Macaca mulatta: one gene and its partner. The protein of the gene in region 1 purifies or fractionates together with the protein of each later gene. This does not show direct contact. Links are inferred from orthologs where the notes say so. Each region holds a gene or a part of one and is shown in the gene's direction. Other genes may lie near its edges.

Region 1 (4,333 bases):
GTTAGTAAGGAGCTGAGGTGGGATTTGAGGCACAGGTCTCTGATTCCAAAGGCCATAGTCAGTCTTTTGTGCTTTACTCCATTTAATTGTGTATTCCCCTCATTCTCCTAGCACTTAGTAGAGAGGCCAGTCTAGGATAAATGTTCAACAGCAAGAGCGACCCCAAAATATAAATCTGATGACCTCTTTTTGCACTTAATCTAGATTGTTTACTAACAACCCTCCTCACCCCCAGCTCACCAGTCTTTGTCTTCAAGACAGTCTCTTTCCTTCCCTAGAGCATTTGCTGCACTTATACGTCTCAAGGCTCTTCTCACTCTTTCCATGCTAACCCCTTTATGTCCTTTAGATCGCAGCTTGTCTCTTGTTCAGAGGCCTTCCTTGGCCATTCGATCTAAAATAGATCTCTGGTATTTTCTATGTCATACACTTGTTTCCTAATATTTATCAAATTTTGCAGTTACTTTGTCAGTTTACTTTCTGGTGTTTTTCCAATATTATGCCCCATGAGACCAGCAACCTTGAATCTTGTTTGCCTTTGATTTCCCAGAGCTGTGCTGTTCAATACAGAAGCCAGCAGCCACATGTGGCTACTGAGCACTGTACTGTAAATGTGTTATTTTCTTATTGAGATGTGCAGTTAAGTGTAAAATATGCACTGGATTTTGAAGACTTGGTATGAGAAAAGAATGCATAAGATCTCGATTTTTTAATGTTGATTACATGTTGAAGGACTTGGATAAATTGGGTTAAATATATGACTAAAATTTTCACTTATTTTACTTTTTAATTGTGGCTAATAGAAGATTTCAACCTACATATGTAACTCACATATTTCTAGAATCTGAGACAGTGCCCTGGCCCATTTTATTGAATGAAATATCCAATGTCGAGAGAGAGATCGAATGAATGGGTGTATGAAGAGGTATAGTCTTAAGCTTCCATTAGGCAAATAGATACAGCACTGCCATAGAAGTTAGGAGATCTGGGTCCTGGCTCAGGATGTACTGGAAACGCCTTGGACAAGTCTTGCCCTACTCTGGGCATCAATTTGCCCATTAGGTAGTTGATCTTTGAGGTCCGGAAGCTTACGACAGTCAGTTGGCAGGGAAATGTACCAGGAAAGCTTGGTACAACCGCACTTGTGTTTTTCGCTCTAGCCTAAACACTTGAGCCTCGGCAAACGGGCAGAGGCAGCGGGAATCAGGGACTACACCCCCGAACCCAGTACCCGGGTCCCCGACTTCCCCGAGCCTACGTCACTGGGGCGCGACGGCGCTGTCCCCGGGACTGCAGCGACTGAGGTCCCTTCGGTGAAGGCGAGTTCCGGGCCAACAGAGAGGGTCGCACCGTTTCCGAGTCTTTCGGAGGCTCAGTTCTCAGCGCACCATTCCCCACAGCTCTCCTTTTTACTTCACCCCTACCCAACACTTTACCCCGGGGAGCATCCAAACCCGAGTCTCATCGCGGCTGCGCAGCGCACGTGCACAGCCTCGCAGGAGTCTCGGCGATTGGCTGTGACGCAGTTTCCGGCGTGAGCGGCGAAAGCCGGGAGGGCGAGCGAGAGAGCGACCAGGCAGCAGGCTGCCGGCGGGCGGGCGGACGGCACGGAGGGAGGGAGCAAGCGAGCAGTGAGTGAGCCAGCGAGGGCGGCCGGGTCCCGAGGTCAGCCGAGATTTCTCAGGTCCCTCCGGCCCCCTCCCTGGAGTCCACAGCGCCTCCGGTGTCCAGCGGATCGGACACGGCCCGGCCCGGCCATGGCCTCGTTGCTGAAGGTGGATCAGGAAGTGAAGCTCAAGGTAGCGGCACCGGTCCGGCCTTTTTGCCCCTCGCTTTGATCCCCCAGCAGTCTGACTGGCTTCCTACTCCCCATGTCGTCTTTGTCTCCCTGGGGATACCAGCTCTGAGCTTCCGCTCAACTCAGCCCAGCCCCCAACTCCCGGGGTCGGCTTCGCGGGAGAGGAAAATATAGGATGGCTTTCTGTACCGCGTCTGATGATGGAGAGTCCCGGGGACACCTCCGCGGACACGTGTTGGACTCAGGGCTTTAGGCCAGTGACAGCTGGAAATCCCCCAGCCCAACAACGTCCCTGGACACTGCCTCTGCCCTTGGTGGCTGGCCTGCCTGGTATCATAGGCCAGGTCTGGGTGGGGGTTGGCACGTTTGTGAGCTCACATCTTTCCTAACTACCTGTCTTTTGTCTGCTTATCAAATTCAGACAGCTTCAGACACAGGAGGGAGGGAGGGGAGAGGAGAGAGGAGACAGGCAGGTGCTGCCCTCAAAGCCCTGCTTTCTTCTCCTGAGATGGAAAAATGGATCCTCAAAAAAATAAAGTATTTGCAGTCTGGGGGCCTCTCAGCTTCTTATTACAGTTACAAGGTGAGGGAAAGACAGTTGGATTTGGGATTCTCTATCCTGCTCTTACCTCTGTCTCCAGGTACTGAATTGCTCTCTTTGTTAATTTTAGGTTGATTCTTTCAGGGAACGCATCACAAGTGAGGTGAGTGAAATAAATAGAAAAATGAGTGTTGGTTGAGAGTTTCCCAAAGAGGAGATATCTGTAGAGAGAGAGAGAGAGACCTTCCCACAGATATTAATTCAGCTATATTTTCCCTCCTCCTTAGGCAGAAGACTTGGTGGCAAATTTTTTCCCAAAGAAGTTGTTAGAACTTGATAGTTTTCTGAAGGTGAGAGACCCTTTTCTTTCCTCAAATTCCCCTATTTTTTTGGCCCTGGTATTACTGTCAACTGGAACTAATTGTGTGTTGATTCTTCTTTTTATTTTTTTAAACTGTAAAAGCGCTTTCATTTCTTGCTCTTCAATCAAATACTTCTTTGTTCAGCTTGAAAAGATTAATGTTTTGGGGTGGGTGTCTTTCAGGAACCAATTTTAAACATCCATGACCTAACTCAGATCCACTCTGACATGAATCTCCCAGTCCCTGACCCCATTCTTCTCACCAATAGCCATGATGGACTGGATGGTGTAAGTGTCCTATATTTATCTTTGTGTTCTTGAGCAGTAGGTCCTCTGTCCTCTGTTTCCTTGTCAGTTTAAGATGTACAGAGGCAACAGTGGGATTTGGATCTGGGAACTAGGACTGTTACAGACATGATGACTCTAGTATAGTTGTTTTATTTCTTATTTATTTATTTATTTTTGAGAAAGGGCGTCACTTTTTTTTGCCCAAGCTGGAGTGTAGTGGCGTGAGCACTGCTCACTGCAGCCTGGACCTCCCAAACTTAAGTGACCCTCCCTCCTCAGCCCGCCAAGTAGCTGATACTACAGGAGTGTGCCACCATGCCCAGCTGATTTTTGTATTTTTTGTAGAGACAGGGTTTCACCATGTTGCCGAGGCTGGTCTCAAACCACTGAGCTCAAGTAATCCACCCGCCTCAGCCTCCCAAAATGCTGGGATTACAGGCGTGAGTCACTGCACGAGGCCTCCGGTATATTCCTTTTAGACCCTGAGTTTCATTTACGATGTGAAGTGAATGTGCTAATGCTACTCTCAGTGTTAGAGTGAGTTTCAAATAAAAGAGAACTAGCTTTGGCCAGGCGCGGTGGCTCACACCTGTAATCCCAGCACTTTGGGAGACTCAGGTGGTTGGATCACGAGGTCAGGAGATGGAGACCATCCTTGCTAACATGGTGAAACCCCATCTCTACTAAAAATACAAAAAATTAGCTGGGCGTGGTTGTGGGCGCCTGTAGTCCCAGCTACTCGGGAGGCTGAGGCAGGAGAGTGGCATGAACCCAGGAGGCGGAGCTTATAGTGAGCCGAGATAATGACACTGCACTCCAGCCTGGGCAACAGAGCGAGACTCTGTCTCAAAAAAAAAAAAAAAAAAGGAGAGAACTAGCTTCATCAGGTTACCTGGTTTTTCCCATGGTTCTGAACAAGACTTAACTTTGTTTCTGTGTCTTGATAAGTGTTATGGGATATGAAGTTCTTGCTGTGTAACTGCAATCGCTGTTTTGCTGTACATCTTTAACAGCTAGTCCTTATCAGTCATGTGTCCGCATGCTACTATAACACTGATGATACTGAATTGTTGTCTGTAGTACCGCCTCATTGACAGAACTTGTACGTCTGGAAGGCAAGAACTACCTTTTTTTTTTTTTTTTTTTTTTTGAGACAGTCTCACTCTGTTTCCTAGGCTGGGGTGCAGTTGCGCGATCTCAGCTTCCTGCAACCTCCCCCTCCCGGTTTCAAGTGATTCTCCCACCTCAGCCTCCATGTAGCTGAGATTACAGATGCGCGCCACCAAGCCCAGCCAATTTTTAAATTTTTAGTGGAGACAGGGTTTCACCATGTTGTCCAGACTGA
Region 2 (4,413 bases), on another chromosome or scaffold:
AATCCTTCTTCTTTTGACCTGAGAAATTCTACCTCTGACTTAAAAGTTACTGTTCACTGAATTCTGCAGAATGAACTAAGGTGGCAGGCAGGGGCCCTCAGAGATGCCATACGTTACACCACCTGAGGATGCTTTCAGAGCACCACCTGTGTGTGACTCTTTGCCATCTTGCCTTGGCTCACTTCCCTGTGTGCTTGGAAAGCAGAGATGATAGGTGAGACCCCAAAATGCAACTTCCAAGCCATCTCCTTTTCAAAGCCCACATCCCCCAATTATTTTGCAACCAACATGAAGAGGACAGAGTTTCTGCCCAATGGGTTGCTTTTTGGGAGAGACTGAGCAGATGACATCATATGAACCCAGATCTAGTCAACCTTCTAGCCTGAAAAAACCTGAAATGAATAGTAGATAGTTTACATAGGGACTGAGGCTGAATGAGCAAAAGGGTGGAGAGATGGATAATGAACACATAAACAAGTATGACAATTTCAGTAAAGAAGATAAAATGGTGCAAGTATATGCTGACAGTAGGGTATTGTTTTAACTACGCTGGTCAGGGTAATCCTTTCTGACTGGTGAAAAGCAGAGAAACACCAAGTGAAAATTCTTCTAAAAGTGTGAACCTGACCATAATTTTTTTTTAATTTTTAGAGCCAGAGTCTGTCTGTCACCCAGGCTGGAGTGCAGTGGCGCGATCACAGCTCACTACAGCCTCAAACACCTAGCCTCAAGCCATCCTCCTGCCACAGCCTCCCAAAGCAGTAGAATTACAAGCGTGAGTCACCATGCCCGACCATCATCATAATTTTTTTTTTTTTTTTGAGACGGAGCCTCACTCTGTTGCCCAGGCTGGAGTGAAGTGGTGCACTCTTGGCTCACTGCAACCTCCGCTTCCTGAGTTCAAGCGATTCTCATGCCTCAGCTTCCTGGGATTACAGGCGTGCACCACACACCCGGGTAATTTTTGTAGTTTTAGTAGAGACGTGGTTTCACCATGTTGGCCAGGCTGGTCCCGAACTCCCGACCTCAGGTGATCCACCCTCCTCGACCTCCCAAAGTGCTGGTGCTGGGATTACAGGCGTGAGCCACCCAGCCTTCCTCATCATAATGTAAATGTCCAAAATGTATACATCAGCAGTAAAAGTGAAAGCCAGAATGAAAAAGGGAGATGATGACAGAGGTAAAGTCTCATGTGATTGGAACCATTTCGGGAAACAGGACAGGAATGGTAGCAATTAAGAAGCCGGTCCACACTATTTGCTATCCTAGGTGTGAATAGTGAAGAGAAAGTGAAAGTAGAGCGCCAAGGGTAAGAGAAGGAAATTAGTTATTCCACCTTCTGGTTGGCTACGGTCTTCCTGCCTTCCTCCCCATGGCGCAGCAACTCCTCCACCTGCTGCAGCGCCCCAGCTCCCACGAGGGCCACGGGTTCTAGCTCCGCCCCACAAGGAGGACTTCCGTGTCCTCGGCCATCCCACTACCCCCTCCCTTAGCGGTTCTGCGCAAGCGCGGGGGCCATATTAGCAGCGGTTATTCGGGCAGCCCTGGTGGTTTATTTTCCCGCGGAGATAAGGGCTCAGTGGACATCTGAAGTCTTCAGGGTCTTCCATCTGGTGAGCCTTTGGCCCCTGGGGGCCCGCGGAAGCATGGCCGCTCTTCCCTTCGGCGGGGGTAGTGAACGTCAAGACAGTCGGTCCCGGCCTGCAGTTGCCGCCGAGGAGCCGTGGGCACGATGACTCTGCACCGCCTCCACGGTGACAGACCAGCCGCCGGGAATGGCCCCCTCCGGCCGCCGTTGGAGGCTTCCGCGTGCCGAGCCTGGACGCCGGGGCCCGGCGAGGGGGCGAGCTGAGGGTGGGGGTCTGTGGGCAGGACCGAGGACTCGGGGCGGCTTCCGTCCCCGGGAGTTCGGTACGTGAAAGTTAGCGCTCCCGGAGGTGCCGGTGAACTCAAAATCGTGCTGTGACCGGCGTCAGGCGTGGAGACCACAGAAAGTTGTGCTTACGCTCGAATCAGAAATCCCCGGCGAGTCTCTCTGTGTCCTACCTGTTTCTCTGCTCTGGGCCATCCTTACTTTGCACCTTCCTATTACCTCAACCAGTTCGCTGCCCTCCGTCTCTCACGAGCCAGAGGGATCATTTAAAATGCTAATCAGTTCTTGTGGGCCTTGGGAATCATTCCGTGGAGCCCCAGTGGCTGAGAGAGAAAATTCTGTTTTTACCTGGGCACGCGGGCTCTCCAGGATTTGATTCCAGCTTACCTTTCCAGTCTTGATTCCCTGTATTCCAGTATTTGGGAATGTGGGCTTTGGACTGAGGCTTTACCAAATAACACTGAGCACCCAGTATTGCCTTTTGCACGAATGGTACTGATGGTGCCCAAGATAACTGCCTCCACCCCCAAGTTCAGGACTCTCTGGAGAAGGCCTAAGTGTCTTAACTTGGCATTCAAGGCTCCGCGGGATTTGGATACTCGCTTAGCTCTTATTTATGTATTTTTAAAAACATCAGCAGTTTGTCTCATGCCCACTAAGCTATCCTGCCTCAGTACCCTTTGTTCATACTTTCTGCTCTGTCTGGAGTGCCCTTCCCTTCTTTCTTCCCCTGTTCTTTCTCTTAGACCCAAGAGTTCTCAGCCTTATTTCTGCCTCTCCCGTCTCTGATTTACTTTCATTTTCTGTATCGGTTTCTCAAAAAATACTTTCTGGATTTTTTTCATCATCCCTTTTCCCATTCTACCCCCGGTTCCTTTTTCTGCATTATAATCTATGACTGCCTCTCTCACCTAACTGCCAGTATTAGCTTTTCAGGACAGGAATTGGTTTTACACATTTTGGTATTCCAGCATCTAGCATAACGCCTGACACTTAGCTGAATAAAGGGAGTAAATAAAACTGATTTGTAAAGTCAGCAAATGCTTTTTAATTTGTGAATCTTATTTTAATGATGATCTGATTTTCTTTTTACAGGAACTATATAAAGTTCAGAAAACATGGTGAGTTAATACATGTGCCAGTAAACTGTTGCCTGATAAATAGTATTGCTTGTACTCAGCTTACAGTCTTGTGTGGGAAAATTGAAATAGAAGGAAAGCAGTGAGATGGTGCCTTTTTTCTTGTCAGTTTCCTCTCATCTGCTGAACTTTGTATACCAGGATAGGTTTTGTAAGGTGATTTGTAGGCTTGCAGGAGTTGGCCTACTTTCAGTGGGTAGGAATCACTCATGTGTTTTTCCTTTGCAGTCTCGAAGATATGACTCCAGGACCACTATATTTTCTCCAGAAGGTAAAATAGAAATTGTTTAATCTGCCTCAAGTTTAAAAAAAAAATGTGTTAGACTTTTAGAAAAAAAAAAATTACAAACTTTTTTTGGTAGTTGCAAAGTTCATCCTTTTTGTACTTCGAAGCAATTATGGTCACCGGGTTGATTATACCATAGAAGAGTAAAAGTGGGAATTTGTTTCTAGCTTGCTTCCTTGCTAATTTCTTTTGGGTCAGTGGTGCAAGAGCATAGAGGAGAGTCTTGGCTTCTCACTGCTTTTGTTTTGTAGGTCGCTTATACCAAGTTGAATATGCCATGGAAGCTATTGGACATGCAGGCACCTGTTTGGGAATTTTAGCAAATGATGGTGTTTTGCTTGCAGCAGAGAGACGCAACATCCACAAGCTTCTCGATGAAGTCTTTTTTTCTGAAAAAATTTATAAACTCAATGAGTAAGTGAGATTTTAGGAAAGAGTTTTAAAAAAAATCTCACTTTCTCACATAAGTGGGATCTATGTAATTTGGGAGGGCTTTTCCGTGTGATGTGGTAGGATTGAAGTTGTACCTTTATTTTGCTTGAAACCTCTTTGAGGCCTGGTACCATGTGTTACTCCTTTTAAGTGCAGGGCAAACACTTAGTAGAGAAACTAGCATTGTGTAGTGGTAAGAGTACAGACATAGTAGTCACACAGATTTGGGTTCAACTCCAGGCTTCCCCCATGCAGGCTATGTGATCTTGCACAAATTATTTAATTTCTTTGGGCCTCAGAGTCTCCTCAAGTGGTTGTGGCAGTTTAATGAAATAAAATGAATGAAATAAAATAGTATAGTGTCAGGCATATAGTAGGCCCTCAAAGTATTGTTTAGAATAGCTATGCAGGATTTTGTTGAATTATACTGAATCTTACTAAAGAACAAGCCTGTTGGAGATCTGGGAAGAATTTAGCCAAGCCTTGTACACGGTGTGAGATGTTGGTTATATTTAGATGTGCAGAACTTTGCAGCTCATGGAGAGCTGGCCATGCTAAGTAGAGACTTTCCCTTCAGTGATGGTAGGCTTGGTAAATGCTGATTATCAGGGCCTTTGGATACACTTGTCCAAAGTGGTGTCACCCCTCCACAGAGCCTCTGTTGGGCTCACCCAACAGCTGGC

What was found.
Region 2: the proteins of PSME3 (region 1) and PSMA4 fractionate together in Homo sapiens (co-fractionation; 3 studies listed by BioGRID, with this or other methods). This does not show direct contact. The link is inferred for Macaca mulatta from reciprocal best matches to the Homo sapiens genes PSME3 and PSMA4.

Annotation. Positions count from the first base shown.
Region 1 is NC_133421.1:67,183,143-67,187,475, forward strand, and holds the start of PSME3 (proteasome activator complex subunit 3), read left to right. Parts: upstream 1-1,522; 5' UTR 1,523-1,757; coding exon 1,758-1,799; exon of another isoform or gene 1,800-2,306; coding exon of another isoform or gene 2,307-2,381; intron 2,382-2,469; coding exon 2,470-2,502; intron 2,503-2,592; exon of another isoform or gene 2,593-2,626; coding exon 2,627-2,689; intron 2,690-2,883; coding exon 2,884-2,988; intron 2,989-4,333. UniProt on the Homo sapiens protein: Subunit of the 11S REG-gamma (also called PA28-gamma) proteasome regulator, a doughnut-shaped homoheptamer which associates with the proteasome. 11S REG-gamma activates the trypsin-like catalytic subunit of the proteasome but inhibits the chymotrypsin-like and postglutamyl-preferring (PGPH) subunits.
Region 2 is NC_133412.1:56,687,127-56,691,539, forward strand, and holds the start of PSMA4 (proteasome subunit alpha type-4), read left to right. Parts: upstream 1-1,487; 5' UTR 1,488-1,613; intron 1,614-2,968; 5' UTR 2,969-2,991; coding exon 2,992-2,994; intron 2,995-3,240; coding exon 3,241-3,283; intron 3,284-3,549; coding exon 3,550-3,712; intron 3,713-4,413. UniProt on the Homo sapiens protein: Component of the 20S core proteasome complex involved in the proteolytic degradation of most intracellular proteins. This complex plays numerous essential roles within the cell by associating with different regulatory particles.